2 linked regions of the Drosophila melanogaster genome follow. The protein of the gene in region 1 interacts with the protein of each later gene in a pairwise test. Each region holds a gene or a part of one and is shown in the gene's direction. Other genes may lie near its edges.

Region 1 (7,188 bases):
GATCTGGCGAGGGTTCGGTACCTGGAGCAGCAGATGACCCAAATGTCGGAATTGATCATGAAGTCATTCCAGATCAATGGAGGAGCGCCAAATAGCCAAGCCTTCGAGCAGCTTGCCATGGCCACGGAGATGTTGCAGCAACGAAGTGACAGGCGCGGGGACACTGAATCCGAGATGTCATCGATGACGGAAACGACTATGACCAGTGCTAGGAGCTTGGGTGGAGGAATTCCCCCCCTGACAATGCGGATGGAGCGTTCTCAGGAGGCACTACTCACGACGCGATCTTCCAAGCTACCCAGACCCAAATGCAGATGTCCCTCGGAATCGGATTTAATTGAACACGAGCAGAAACTGGATATGGGTCACGAGTTGCCCCATGACCTGGCAGCGAACTTCGGCTTGGGCGAAGGCTACCTCGTAGACGAATGTGGCCAGGGCGACGGACTCATGAGGCATCCACAACAGCGCAAACCAATGGAGTTAAACAGGCGAGCCGTTAGCGGAACTCCAAGCACCTTCAACAGCGACGGTTGCGAGTATCAAATCAATGTGTCGCGTTCCCGCTGCTCTAATGATAAGATTAAGTAAGTAACTTATAATACTTATACACTCTATTACATATAATTACATCTGCATAGCTATAAAAACCTTGGGCGCAAAAGCTTTAGCTTTACGAATCCCCAAGTGCGCGAGATCGAGCGCCAGAATCAGATTCTTTTGCGCAAGATGATGACTGTGAAGCCCACGGCGACGATCAAGGCTAGCACCAGTAGCATAAAGATCAATGGGCCCGAGAAGGTGAGTACATAATATAGAACTTATGTCCAATATTAAACCTCTTCCTTAACAATGTCATACAGCGACAGACACCTCCAGCGCCACGACTGTCCAGCGCAGCTGTGAACCGGAAGAAGAATCAGCGCCAGATCGACCTGGACAACGATCTGCTCAAGCGGAAACTGGAGGCCATCGGCACACGGCGACCGCAATTCAAGTGACGCCTCCACAGGCAGCTCCAACTGTGTTCATTAAGTAATTAAAAGTGTTTATGCGAATTTACAAAATTAAAATTTATTGCAAGTTGAAAAGTGTAAAAAGCTGTATAATCTTAATATAATTTTAAGGGAATTTATAAACCAACTAGAATTCATGCAAAAATGTATAGTACTAGTAAAATTTCGTTCCGATCAAAGTCAATGCATCAAAATGTGTTTATAATTTGTACATTTAGGTATAAACAATTCTATAAATGTTATCGTAATCAATAATCGAATTGGATAGCAATATTAAATTTAACAATTATTTTGCAGCACGTTGGTAACAAATTAAACTAAGAAAAACTCCCGAAAATAAATGAAAGAAGGCGAAAATATTTAAACAGGTAAAAGGAATTAGATGGCATATCTGAAACTTCAAAGAAAAGCTTACAGAGTCACCTCGTTGATCTTGGTCAGAAATGTCTCTCCCAATGCTTTCATTGCTTTAAAGGCAGCATCTCCGTTCTTTTCCTTGAACTCTTCTTCATTTTTAATCTTGACCTTCTCGCGGCGTTCCAATTCACGATAGATAACCTGACCAATCTGAAAAGAAAACTAAGATTGAACGAAATTGTATGGAAAAGTGAATATCAACTTACATAGACATCGATGGCGGCGTACATTAGTTGATTCTCGTCCAGCGGAATGACATGCCACTTGCTCATGCGCACCTTCTTGCTTTTGTCCATGGCCTTCTTGGCTATAAAGTTGGTTAATCGCTCCAAGCTCCAGCGCCCGCCGGTCTCACAGACCTCATTGCACCAAAGACCCAAGTCCACGCATTTCTCTATCAGTGGTTCGGCTGTAACCTCGGGGAAATCACGTGCCAGCTTTCGGAAATCGCTGGAAAATAACAGATTTTATTTATCCAAATGGATTTTTCCTTTGTATAACTAACTTCTTTATGTTCACGCCATGCAATCGCACTTTGGGATGATTGATAAGGGCCACCAGGGCCGCAGGCAGTTTCTTCACATTAGTCAGCTGGTATATGTAGCAGCACTTTTCATCCACGCATATCTGGATGACGGCAGACTTGCCAGGTCCTGTTTGGAAAGAGAAGGGCCACTCCATGTCGAAGGCCATGGGCACTACCTCATCTTTTTGTTTTTCCACCCATTGCCTAAGTTTTGATTTTTAATGCACATTATTAACAAGCAGGAATAAGTTATAGAGTTAACTTACAAAACATCGTCAGCAGATGCCGCAATATCCTGGCTCTCCGTGAAATACTTTATAGCACCCTTGTATTTAATAAAGGGAAGCTTTTCGGGCTTTTCCTTCTCCGGTGATGGAGACCCATCCTCTGCCATTGAACGAGTGCTTCTGGTCAGCCTGGAACTCCGGCGCTTGGGCGGATTTTCTTCCTCCATCGCTAACTTCTCAGTCTTCTATAAAGTTGTTAATGCTTCGTCCCAATATAAACTTAATATATAAATTGTTGCTTACCACATCTGGAGTATCCAGATTTTTTCGCTTGGCAGCCGGTCTACCGGGTCTTCCTTTCGTTTGCTTTGGCGTATTATCATCTCCAGCATTTTCTTTATCTTTCAACTGCAAGATTTATTCGGTTGAAATAGTATACATAGTCATTATTGCTTCCGATTTACAGAAACCGATTCTTAGTTTTGAAAAAAGCAGTAGCAGTATTTTAAATAATAAATTCTAAATAATAAACAAATGCAAACCTCTTTTGGAGTATCCTTTTTTGTTGCTTTCCTTGCCACTTTGGGAGTCTCCTTTTTGACGCCCGCCTCCTACAAATACTTTTAAGTTAGTTTTTATCCCTGCACGAAATTGTGTATTAGCCTACTTCCTTGGGAACTTCATTTGCTTTTGATTTGATGGGCATTTTTGTTAAATATTTTTCCATAACCCGCGTTGCTTGTTCGTTTTCTTAAATGCTTTGTTTACTATTATTTCCCGCCAAAAATATGGAGGGGTAGGCGCACATAAACACCACAGTACGAAAAAATACTGTGACAATCGATAAGTGCCTTGATGAGTTATGAAGGAACGGTAGAATTTGGAACAAGGAAATGTTTTTTATTTATTTATATTATTGTTATTTCAAGGTGAATTCGATAAACTAAAAATGCAATTTTTTTAAGAAAAGAAAGATATAACTATCTATGTGCGAAATAAGTTTATAGGACTCAAGAAAGTATATATAATATGCTATTGAAAAATTGGCGCCCCACATTTTGGGGGACATCTCCACTCGCAGAGCCTGTGCAAGCTTGACCACCTTAAAGGATATTTCAGGAAAATTTCATAATAGAATTACCAATCGTTTTTGAGATAAGCTCATTAAGTACCATAATATAGATCCACATAACAATTTTTCTGCTTTTGTTTCCAGCCCTGCCCAATTTATAGATACCAGATTAAGTTTCCCGCTAAGATATGTTGCGATCTTCTTGCTCTGGTCACACTTAACTCGAAAGCCGCATTATTTTGTTTACATCGCGAATCCTCTGCTAAATCCAACGAAAAGATGTCCATTGCAAACGTTTCCACGCACTACATATCCGAGAAGGTGTCCCAAGTGCGCTGGCTTCCGGAGGAACTGCAGCAGAGCGAACGGTTCGTTACTGGAAGCTGGGACATGGACCAGAACTTCGTGCGCCTCTGGCGGCTACAATCGAACCAATATGTCACCGCCACGGATTCGGAAGTGGACCAGATACCTCGCTGCATGGACAAGGTGAGAATGGAGGACGATGTGACCGCCATGGAGTTCGTCGACAAGGACACGCTGGCTGTGAGCTGTGCCGATGGTCAGTTACAAGTTCCAGCAATCATGAACTCAGCTAAATAAATGTCTATTTTAATACCAAACAAGGTCATCTCAGCGTGTTTAACGTCCATCGAGCCGTGGAGGAGGATCAGATGCAACGTACGTCCCGATCGGGACGTCTGCACTGCTTCCAACGTAGCCAGGAGCCCGCTCCTTGCACCGACCTTTCTGTTTACGGCACGGATATCGCCACCGCCGGCGAGGATGGGTGTGTAAGCATCGTCTCCGTGGAAAATGTGCGCCAGGTGAAGCGACAGATTGAGGCGGACAGCATGGCGCTGTTTTCCATTTGCTATATCAGCCAGCAGGAACTGGTGACTGCCAATAGGATGGGTGTTATCCGAATGCTGGACGCCCGAGTGGCCACTGAAGCGCAGCCGAAGACCACCTTTATGGTGGCCTCCCAGGATGACAAGTCGAACTTTGTCTCGTCCCTTGCCAAGCATCCGATGCAGCAACATATTTTACTTTGCGGCAGCGAAGAGGGTTCCATAACCGTCTGGGATATGCGAAACCTCAGTTATCCCGCCTCCTATCTCAGCGCTCACAAAAGTCCCATCAACGAGATAGGCTTCCATCAAAAGGATCCCAGCAAACTGTTCACCGCCGCAGAAGGTGGCGAGGTGTGGATGTGGTCAGAGAACAAAGTTCTCGGGTGCGACTATAACAAAGACGGACACAGCCCCTGGTTGTCTGGCGATCGTGTTCGCTCCCTGGTCGATGTGGAGGGAGTGCTGAGTAATGTTCGCAAGTCCATCAACTCCTTCGATGTGCATGGAAGTCGTCTGGTCTGCGGAGGCGACACAGAAGCCGTTTACCTAGTTGATAATATTGTTTAAATGTCAAGCCTTTTGAATTCCTTACCTAAATTATATAATATTTCAATTGTTGAAATCAATTAGTTACTGTATTTAATTTTCGTATATTTATTATTTTCTTTATATACTCCAAAATTGGCTTAGATCAAAGCACCTGTCTTACATCTACGTCTAGTTTAAGCTTAGGACTCTATATTCGTATACAGGTGTTTATGGGTTTAATGCCTTGGCAATTCCAATTTAAATATTCTCGTTTTGGGTGCTGCTGTGTTGTTTGGTCTTATGATTCATACTCATATCCGTCTTAAATCCTATTTCGTTGGCTAATTTGGAATAGATTTATGCGTGTTTTGAACTACCTTATTTAATGGATGAACTAACTTGGATTCAATGCATATTAGGCTAAGCGAATATAATAAATATAGTATGTATAAGTATGTACAGTGCAGCTCTTAGGCCTACTTTTGTTCGATTCTCCGCGATTCCTCAGATTTGTATTGTTTGAGCATTTTTAACTGCATTTGGATGCGGATTTGGGTTATGAGTATTATTACATCGTTATGTTCAATTAGGATTTCAATTTAACACGAACCCAAATTATTTTTCTACAGCAATGTTGAGTATGGCATATACATTATTGTATTTATCAGCGATAGAGTGACTATCCCCGTATAATTCACTGAGTGGTCCTCCTTTAAGGTTTCTTATCCAGATGGGATCCTCCAGATTTTAGTCCCTAGTAGAATCGTTCGAACTTGGGCGCCTTGTTGAGTGCGCAGAAATAATACCCTGAATAGTTTTGTGTGGCTCCGGGTGGAGTATAATCGCCGATGCTGTAGTTCCCGTAGTCGTAGTTACCCATGTGGGCGTGGTGATGGTGATGGGCGTGGTGCTGGTGGTGCATGTGGTGGGTGTGCGGGGGGTGGTAATGCTGGAAACCTCCTGCACTCCTTGGCTTTTGTCATGTGAGCAGGCTGTTGCCACCACCAACTCCGCTGCCGGTGGAGGACTCTCCACCAACTCCGGTTGCCCCATTGCTGCCATTGCTGCTGTTGTTGTTGCCGTGGACGCGCATGTGCCGATTCAAGTTCCCCGACTGCGAAAATCTGTGGACACCAAAAAAGCAATTAACTCGATGTATAACGTTCCAGGACTGCTCTTTGGGGGCCTAAGCCTTTTTTAAGGGGTAATTTTCATCTTTAGCATTACATTTGAATAAACAATTATTATTTCATTTAATTTCAGTTCTTTAGTTGAAGTTGAAAATCTTACGAAAATGCATGAATGAAAATGAATGATGCATATTATCTTTGGTTTTCCTTTTTTTTAAGCTTGCAACAGTCTCAGTTTTGTTCAAGTTGTTAGTTTTATATTGAAACGATAGAAATTATTAAACTATCTTTAAAGCTTTAAGGGTTTACGTAAAAGTAAAAGCAAAACCATTTTCGTTCGTTTAGGAATGAGGAAGGACGGTGTAAGTAAATCCCCCATCCCGGACTCACCTGAGCAGGCAGAGCTTGCACTGGTAGGGCTTCTCGCCACTGTGGATTCGCAGGTGCTTGGTGAGGGTGCTGCTGTCCGAGAAGGACTTCTTGCACGAGGAGCAGCGGTACGGCCGCTCGCCGGAGTGGGTGCGCATGTGCGTGGTGACACTGGAACTCTGCGAGAATCTCCGGTCGCAGATGGGGCAGCGGAACGGCTTCTGGCCGGTGTGTGTGCGTACGTGAGCCGTCAGGTTGGCTGCCTGCGAGAAGCTCTTGTTGCAGTCGGGGCATCGATAGGGTCTTTCGCCGGAATGGGTCCGCAGATGGGTCTTGAGCGTGCTGGGCCGGGCATATGTCTTTCCGCACAACCGGCATAGATTGGGTTTCATCTCGCCGCCACTGCTGCCCTCATCGCCGTCCAGATCCTCGTTGCTATCCTCCTCGTCCTCGAAGGCGGATAGACTTAAGCCCAGGGCGGCTGCCTGATAGCTGGTGGGACTTTTGTGGGGCGGTGTGTATCCCTGATTGCCCACCCCCGTGGGATAGTAGCCAGCCAAAGAGGAGTTGGCCGGCGGCGATGGCGACTCCTTTTCGCCCACCGTCAGCGGTGGCAGGGCACCCAGACCCGTGGGAGCCGGTGCCCGAAAATCCGCTGTAAAGGAATATGTGGCCGAGGCAGGATAGTGACCGGGACTCAGCAGCGGTGGGTATAGCACATTTACCGCCGCTGCTGCTGCTGCCGCCGAGGTGGAGTTACTGGGTGGCGTCCAGTTCATCTGGGAGCACTGCATTGGCACGCCGCCTGCATCACCGGCACCGTAGCCATGGTGCATGGTCATGTTCATGCTGACGTTCACGCTCATGCTGGGATACATGGCTGCCGCCGGAGGAGGAGGTGGTGCGGCCGTTCCAGCACTGGTTTCATAGTAGCAACTGGCAGCGTTGGCCACTCCTCCGGCACTACCATTACTGCCGATATTGTTGCCACCACTGCTTTGGAGGAGAGAGTTGCCTACGTGCGATGCCTGGACTTGGGATTGCTGGTG
Region 2 (7,375 bases), 5.9 Mb from region 1:
TTCATTGATAAGGAATAGCTGCACTTGAAACTCGAGATTTCTTATCAACAACAACGATCGCTTATGCTACCCTACAACAGTGCGCCATAAACATTAGTTTTTTTTCATACATTAGAAATAACCAAATAGATTAACCACTTTCCATAGAAAGATTTACTAAACACTTCCTGAACTCCCAGGGTCACAAAACGTTTTCATTGGCAAATCAGTTCCGCTTCTCGACTGCAGACACTTAAGTTCTTGACTTTCACTTGCTCATTAATGGCTATATTTCAATGGGGCACTTCTAAAACATTATCAGCGGGTGCAACCTCTCGAGTTGAACTTCAAAATGGGCACGAGGACCGGACCAGATTTGCAGCGCCACTTAATTGATGCAAATAGAAATCAGAATCAGAGTTTTTCGCTCAGATAACGATATCACTCGACATTTGCCGAGATGCGTCCTTTGGAATGGAAAATTTTTAGACTCGAACGCAAACATGTTTTGCAAATGCAGCTTGGAATTTTCCATTGACATTCACAAGAATTGTAAAGTTAACCCTGAATCTGGTTGCAGATCCAAGTCGATTCATATTAATTTTTGTTCAATAGCTGCAGTTGTTTTTCCAACGCTCCAAAGAGTATGAGATATATGAATCATTATGTTTTCAATATAGGAAACAATTTCAATTTTAAACTTTCTTTGATCACTGAATTTCAGAAAGTCTAATAAGCATAAGATCTTAAAGATAGACTTCATAACTAAATTGGCTTGGGATGTATAATGAACCGAACATATACCTATAAATATAAATATGCTTGATATTTAATCCGAACAGATAACAATTCAGGCCCAACTTAGTTTTAAGTCAGTTCAATCTGCTTTGGTTGGGGTTTTATTTTAAGGAGATTGTGCCTTCATAACGTATCCGGACAGGAAATACCTGTATTATGCGTACTTGAGCCGAGAACACGTTTATCGTATAACATTTAAAGAGAAACATTAAACAAATGCGTCGGCCGTCGGTTCATTGGCATGCAATCGTCAAAAAATGTGTCTGGCACGTTACCAAAATGCTAATCGCTTCAACTTTCAATACGTTCTCTCAATCTGTAGAAAACCATACTGGATAGCATTTCCCAGGAAGATGATACCTTCAAGGGTGAGGGCTACACCAGCCTGGCCATTATCTACCTGTTCTTCTCGCTCTCCAATTGGCTGGCACCCTCGTTCATTTCGTTCACCGGACCACGAGTGGCCATGGTCGTGGGAGCACTGACCTATACGTGAGTATATACCCCCCCACCGGTCCGACTCATACATTTTGGTACCTAAAACATTTGAAACTCTTTTGCAGAGCCTTCATGATCACGTTCATGTTCCCGTCGACGGTATTGCTGTACGTGGGCAGCGCAGTGCTGGGATTGGGTGCCTCGATCACTTGGACGGGACAGGGAACGTATCTGGCGCGCTGCAGTGAATCTTCCACGATTTCCCGTAACTCTGGCGTCTTCTGGGCCCTGCTGCAGTGCAGCATGTTCATTGGGAATCTGTTCGTGTACTATCAGTTCCAGGACAAGACCCGCATCGACAAGGAGACACGGAATCTGGTCATCGGCGTGCTCACGGTAATTGCTGTGCTGGGCATCGTGTTTCTGGCCGCACTGAGATTCATGGCCGATAATGCCGAGCACGACAACGAGCTGGAACAGAAGCACACGGGCTGTGGACAGGCCATATACGCATTGAAGTCCGCAGGACAATTGTTCCTCACCAAAAAGATGCTGCTCCTTAGTCTGGCCTTCTTTTACACAGGTGGGTTGGATTGTGGTCAAAACTGAATAGAATCAGAGATACTAAGTGCTTAAACATAACTTTCTAGGCCTGGAGCTGTCATTCTTTAGCGGAGTTTTTGGATCAGCGATTGGATTCACCACGAAAATAGCCGAAACACCGAAGGAGATCGTTGGACTGGTGGGCATTTGCATTGGAGCCGGCGAGGTCTTTGGAGGAGGACTATTCGGCATACTGGGCAACAAGACGACGAGATATGGACGCGATCCCATCGTGATTGCCGGCTATGTGATGCACATGGCAGCCTTCTTCATGACGTTCATCAACCTGCCGAACAGTGCACCGTTTAAAGATACCACCGATATATCCTATCTGGACCCGCCCCGAGCCAGCATCGCCTTGGTGTGTGCCTTCCTTTTGGGCCTGGGCGATGCCTGTTTCAACACTCAGATCTACTCCATGCTTGGCGGGGAGTATGTGAACAATGCCGTGGGAGCCTTTGCCCTGTTCAAGTTCACCCAGTCGGTGGCGGCGGCCATTAGCTTCTTCTACTCCTCGCACTTCGGGCTGTACGTGCAGCTGGGCATCCTGGTGGTTATGGGAACCATTGGCACCATTGCCTTCGTCTTCGTAGAGTGGGGCTTCAAGCGGCAGCACCGCGAGCAGGAGGCGTTGGAGAAGTAATTCCGTTGTGGGACTCAGAGGATCTAGAGTATTAGATGCAGGTTCTTGTTAGAACTCTAGGGCTAGGGCCATTTGTCCGTGTTTGTTAAATTCCTCGGAATGCTTTAAATCCGTGCGACTGCGTCGTCTTCCTAGACAATAACTGATAAGTGTTGTTGCGCGCTATTGTTGCTAAATATACGTATTTTAATGTTGGCATTCCAAAAAACGTAATTGTAATCTAGTTGTCTATGTTTTTATATGTGTGTATTGTATATGTGCGTTTATTTATTTTAAGCGGCGATTGTGCAAATATAAGATAGTAAACCACAAATTTGGAGTATTATAAGAAATATATAACGAATTTTAAGAAAATAATAGTTGTTATGGATCTTACTTGTGTGCTACTCATTAATAATAGAATTTTGTGCTTTTATTTCATTTTTCAACTATTTGATATATTTTTGAACTGCCTAGATTTCATACTTTGAAATTCGCACACTCGATTACGATGAGTCGATATCTTTTAAAATCGATAGTACCATGTGCAACTATCGGTTGTCTGCCCATGAGCACTCATTTCGCCCATTCCTAAAAGAAATCATTCAATTTTGAAAGACTTGAATGAAACCATGAAAAATGGCCAAGAATAAGTCGACTGTGTACCTAGGATACGAGGATGAGGAGGTTACGGCCAAGCAGGAGCAGCTCCTGAACAGTTGCACAAACAAAATCGGTGGCACACCCGTAAGATAGGCGATTGCATCGACTTCAATAGAGGCAGCGGATAATTGAAATTGATTTTTACCCACAGGATTGGCCCAGACACGAGGTGACCATTCCGTCATGCCCGCTGTGCGGTGCAGTGCGTCCACTGATCGTGCAGATGTACGCCCCGCTGGATCGCTCCCAATTCCATCGCAGCCTTTACGTTTTTGGATGCATGAACCCAGTTTGCTCTCAGAATTCAAAGAGCTGGTGTTGTGTGCGCACTCAGCACCTGGACCACCAGTACGAGGTGATCAGTGAGCATTCGCCGAAGGCAACGCCAACTAAGAAGCAGAACTCCAAAAAAAAGGGGAAGTCGAGCGGATTGCAGGCTATCAGCTGGTGTAGTGGAGCGGACGACTGGGGCGACAGCAGTGGTGGAGCAACCGAACAGGCCAAGACCATCTCCGTGGCATTGGACGAGGCTATGGACATCACCGCGGACGACGACCAGAACGAACGGAATGGCAATGTGCGACCGAATGCCCTGCAGTACGCCAAGTCAGACATCCAAATAGATGAACCAGCCAAACTTGAGCAGGTAAAGATTGCCGCCGATGATGACGACGACGAGGACGAGAGCACTTCGCTGGAGAACGAATTGATCTCTGGCTTTCATCAAATGGACATGATCTCGCCGCAAAACGCCGACGATGATCCAAATGCTAATTGTGCAGCGGCCGCCGCTCCCAGTTTGGATGGAGCTGGAGCCAGTGCCGCCTCAGCGGCCATTGGTGCTGAGATCGAGGGTCCCGAAACGGATCTGGTGCTGGTCGACACGCCCAAGAAGCCGGAACGCGACCTGATTGCCTTGTTGAAGCACACCTCGGGTGCGCTGTCGCAGATCAAGGACCTAACGCTAAAGTCTTACTATATTGCCGTCGATGTAGAGAACAAGACCCAGGCGGAGGAGTACGAAAACTTCGGAGGCGCTTTGTCCATGGACCACATTCGTGATTTGTATCAGGAGTACAAGCTGAGAGACCAGAATCCGGGTCAGTCACCGACCGGCGGTGCATCTGGACCAGGAGAGCAGGGCGATGAGAACGAGTCCTACGAGAAGGCATTGCCAGCCCATGGCGATTTGGTGTTTCACAACTTTATCACTACCATCCATCAGAATCCGGGCCAGCTGTTGAGGTAAACATTGTACTTCTATCCTCATTAACTTTCCTCTTACCCAAGTTGTTCTGCTTCAGATATTCGCGGGATACGATCCCGCTGTTGGTGGCCCCGTTCACGGAACCTCTGCCCAAGTGCCAGAATTGCAGGGGAGAGACCATCTGCGAGGTGCAGCTGCTGCCCACACTGATTCCCAAGCTGCGGTTCCAGGTGAACGGTTGCAATGCACCAATCGAGTTTGGCAACGTGCTGGTCTTCACCTGCCTCAAGAGCTGCTGGGACACACCCGACCTGATGCGCTACGAACATATTGTGGTTCAGTCTGAAACTTAAGGTGCCGTACACGGCCATTTCCCAAAGCCATTAGAGTCATTCGCTGTAGCCGCTACGATTGCAGACTGGTGCAACGAATTTTAAACGCAAACTGCAGAGATAAAGCTAAGCTTCTCGATTGTCCTAGGAAGATTTTATGCTCTAGTTGTTAAGAACGTTGTAAGCTTTTAGACACTCCAAAAATGGATAGTTGCTAATAATATCTCGTTATTTCCACTCCCCCTCTAAAAGGGTTTCAAAACATATTGTTTTATTTCCAACTTGCAGAAATCCATTCTAATTCTAATTAACCTAAGCCAATGGTGCATCAGCATCAAGATGGTAGCTCTTTACGGTTGAGAACCTCAGCGCCGGATATTTGGCCTCGGTCAAATCGAACTCGGAGCTGATGTCCACCTTGTTGCGCTTCTGCACGAGCGTGTAATGTGACCAAACCAACTGGGCGCATCGGCGCTTGGTGGTGCCTGCGATGCGCAGCTCGATCAGGAACTGTGAGGAGTCCTCATCCACTGGCATGATACTCCCTCGCCTCTGCCGCACGTTAGCCGGCCCTCGCTGCTGCGACTTTTGCAGCACCAGAGTGACTGTGCTCCCGAAGAGACGATAGCGACCCCGAAGCATTTCCGCCCGTACGTTGTTCACGTGCTTCAGTTTGGATACACCTTGCGCCGGCTCATCGGCAGTCGTCATCATCAGCACCTTGCCATCGGGCAGAAAGCGAATGTAGCGATAGTACTCCACCAGTTGCACAGGACGGTAGAACTGATCCTGGAAGCTGTTCTCGCCCATTCTCAGGTACGTAGTCTTGCTGATGTAGCAGCCGTTGAAAAGAACTCGGTCTCGGCGGATGAACATGTCTCGCCAGGAGTGGAACACGTTGCTTACATCCGAATCCTGGGCCTCTAGAGTTCCAACGTTGTGGCCCCATACTCTATACAGAAAATTACGATAGGTTCATTGAATCTTAGGCGTTATTTGAAAGAGTAACTTACTTGACACAAGCTAGCCTCCAGAGCTCCTCATCCCGCGCGTAGACATAGAAACCTTTGCAAACAGCAGCGCACTGCTCTAGCGAGCGCATGTCCAGTTGGGCGGAAACCACCCAGCGCAGGATGCGCATCACAATCTCGGGCGGCAGGTCGGCAAAGTGCAGACCGGTGGTCAGGACATTGGCATCACGGCTGGATGCTATCATCTTGCCATTGTAAATGTTTTTCTGACGCAAATCATGCTGGAACTTTTCGTACAGGTTGTCCACGACCTCCTCCCCATCCGACTGACCTAGATCCAATTGCTTGGCCAAATCGTTAGCCAGATTGAGGTACTTCTTGCTGACATCGTTGCTGAGCTTTTGCTTCTGCTGCTCGTAGAACCTGAACTCAATATCCGGAACGATTTGGGTGGCCTTCCTGTAGAAGGGTAGTGCGTCGTAGACCTTGCCACGCTGCTCCAGCTGCACAGCGGTCCGATAGAGACTCTCCGCCTTGGCCTGCAGTAGATCAGCCTCGCTGAGATTGGAATTGGCCGCCGTGAGGCGATCTCCAGCCTCGGAATGGCTCCTGGATCCAGTGTTTGTTGTGTGTTCCTGCAGCTCCCGCTGCCAGTTCTCCCGGAACTCATCCAGTGCATTGGTGCCCGTTTTCCGGGTTGGCTCCTCGCCATCCGAGTCCACATCCGACATGATTAGAGCTAGAAACTAGTCTGCGAATGCCAATCAGATCGTAGATTATAAACATCTGCGCATTTATCTAACGCAATTTCTAACCTGAAAGATTTTAGTATTCGATGTGGAAAGGTACGGAAGTTGGTAACAAAATAGAACTTATAATAAAGGGCCGCGCGTATTGCTGATTTTGGGCGCGGGCTTCACCCCAGAATTTCGTAGTTGTATGCAACTGGGAGCAACATGTGGCCATTGGTAAGACCCCAAGATTAAGAGTATTCAAATACGCAAACGAGAACACTTCTACACTAATGTTATTGTTTACAGTGTGCACGCATTTGCTTAAGAAGTAATTCTTATAAACGCTCTTCTTTAAACATTGACTTACTGATTTCGTCAATTTCAAAAAGGTTATATTTAAGCGAAATTCTCCCAAAATGTGCTTCTAATTAGTATTCTATAAAGATATTTACAATTACTAAAGATCAATTTGAAAATCGATATCATATCATATGCATATTCGATAAATATTTAAAAACAGCTGACTTCAACGCGGTTCTGTTTTGTTTTGGTTGCTCATTTGCTGATTCGCACTATCAGCAGGTAAAAAGTGATATTAAAAATTAAAGTGGTTTATTAAAATGGAATTTTAGGAACCATGTCAGCCGACTACTCCCATCTGAGCTCCGCCATCCTGGAGCAGTGCTTTGGCAAGGTGGTGCAGGCGGTGGCCGACTGCCTCTTTTCGGCCACCACGAGGACCCTGGGACAGATCACCAGTGCCACCAAGTTGTCGAGGAAGGAAGTGGCATTTGCGCTGGCGGTGCTGGTCAAGTTCAGGCTGGTGGACTTTGCCGCCTCCAAGGCAAACCCCTTCCTGGCGGAGTACGCCCTCCGGCGCGAGGATGTTCTCTGCCTCCTAAGGTATCCTCGGTATGTAAAATCGTACATAAAAGATATACGAAGTTTCATGTTTTAAAATCTATTCGGTAACTTTCTCAGTTACGTTCACCTGGTGCAAACCAAGTACGGAAATGTGGGTGCTTCCA

What was found. Proteins that work in one complex are often made in the same cells at the same time.
Region 2: the proteins of Nup43 (region 1) and trus interact in a two-hybrid assay, tested with the Drosophila melanogaster proteins (one large-scale study listed by BioGRID).

What each region holds. Positions count from the first base shown.
Region 1 is NT_033777.3:18,363,183-18,370,370, forward strand, and holds Nup43 (nucleoporin 43kD), read left to right. Parts: upstream 1-3,455; 5' UTR 3,456-3,537; coding exon 3,538-3,820; intron 3,821-3,885; coding exon 3,886-4,679; 3' UTR 4,680-4,731; downstream 4,732-7,188. Other genes in the region: hmw (hemingway), read left to right, coding at 1-587, 642-801, 864-1,001; WRNexo (WRN exonuclease), read right to left, coding at 1,428-1,583, 1,640-1,883, 1,939-2,163, 2,226-2,431, 2,490-2,594, 2,729-2,797, 2,854-2,913; gl (glass), read right to left, coding at 5,620-5,764, 6,161-7,188.
Region 2 is NT_033777.3:12,453,545-12,460,919, forward strand, and holds trus (toys are us), read left to right. Parts: upstream 1-3,028; 5' UTR 3,029-3,079; coding exon 3,080-3,187; intron 3,188-3,254; coding exon 3,255-4,348; intron 4,349-4,407; coding exon 4,408-4,663; 3' UTR 4,664-4,900; downstream 4,901-7,375. Other genes in the region: CG18549 (uncharacterized protein), read left to right, coding at 1,100-1,269, 1,341-1,798, 1,866-2,461; CG5961 (uncharacterized protein), read right to left, coding at 4,955-5,594, 5,656-6,344; Polr3C (RNA polymerase III subunit C), read left to right, coding at 6,985-7,259, 7,329-7,375.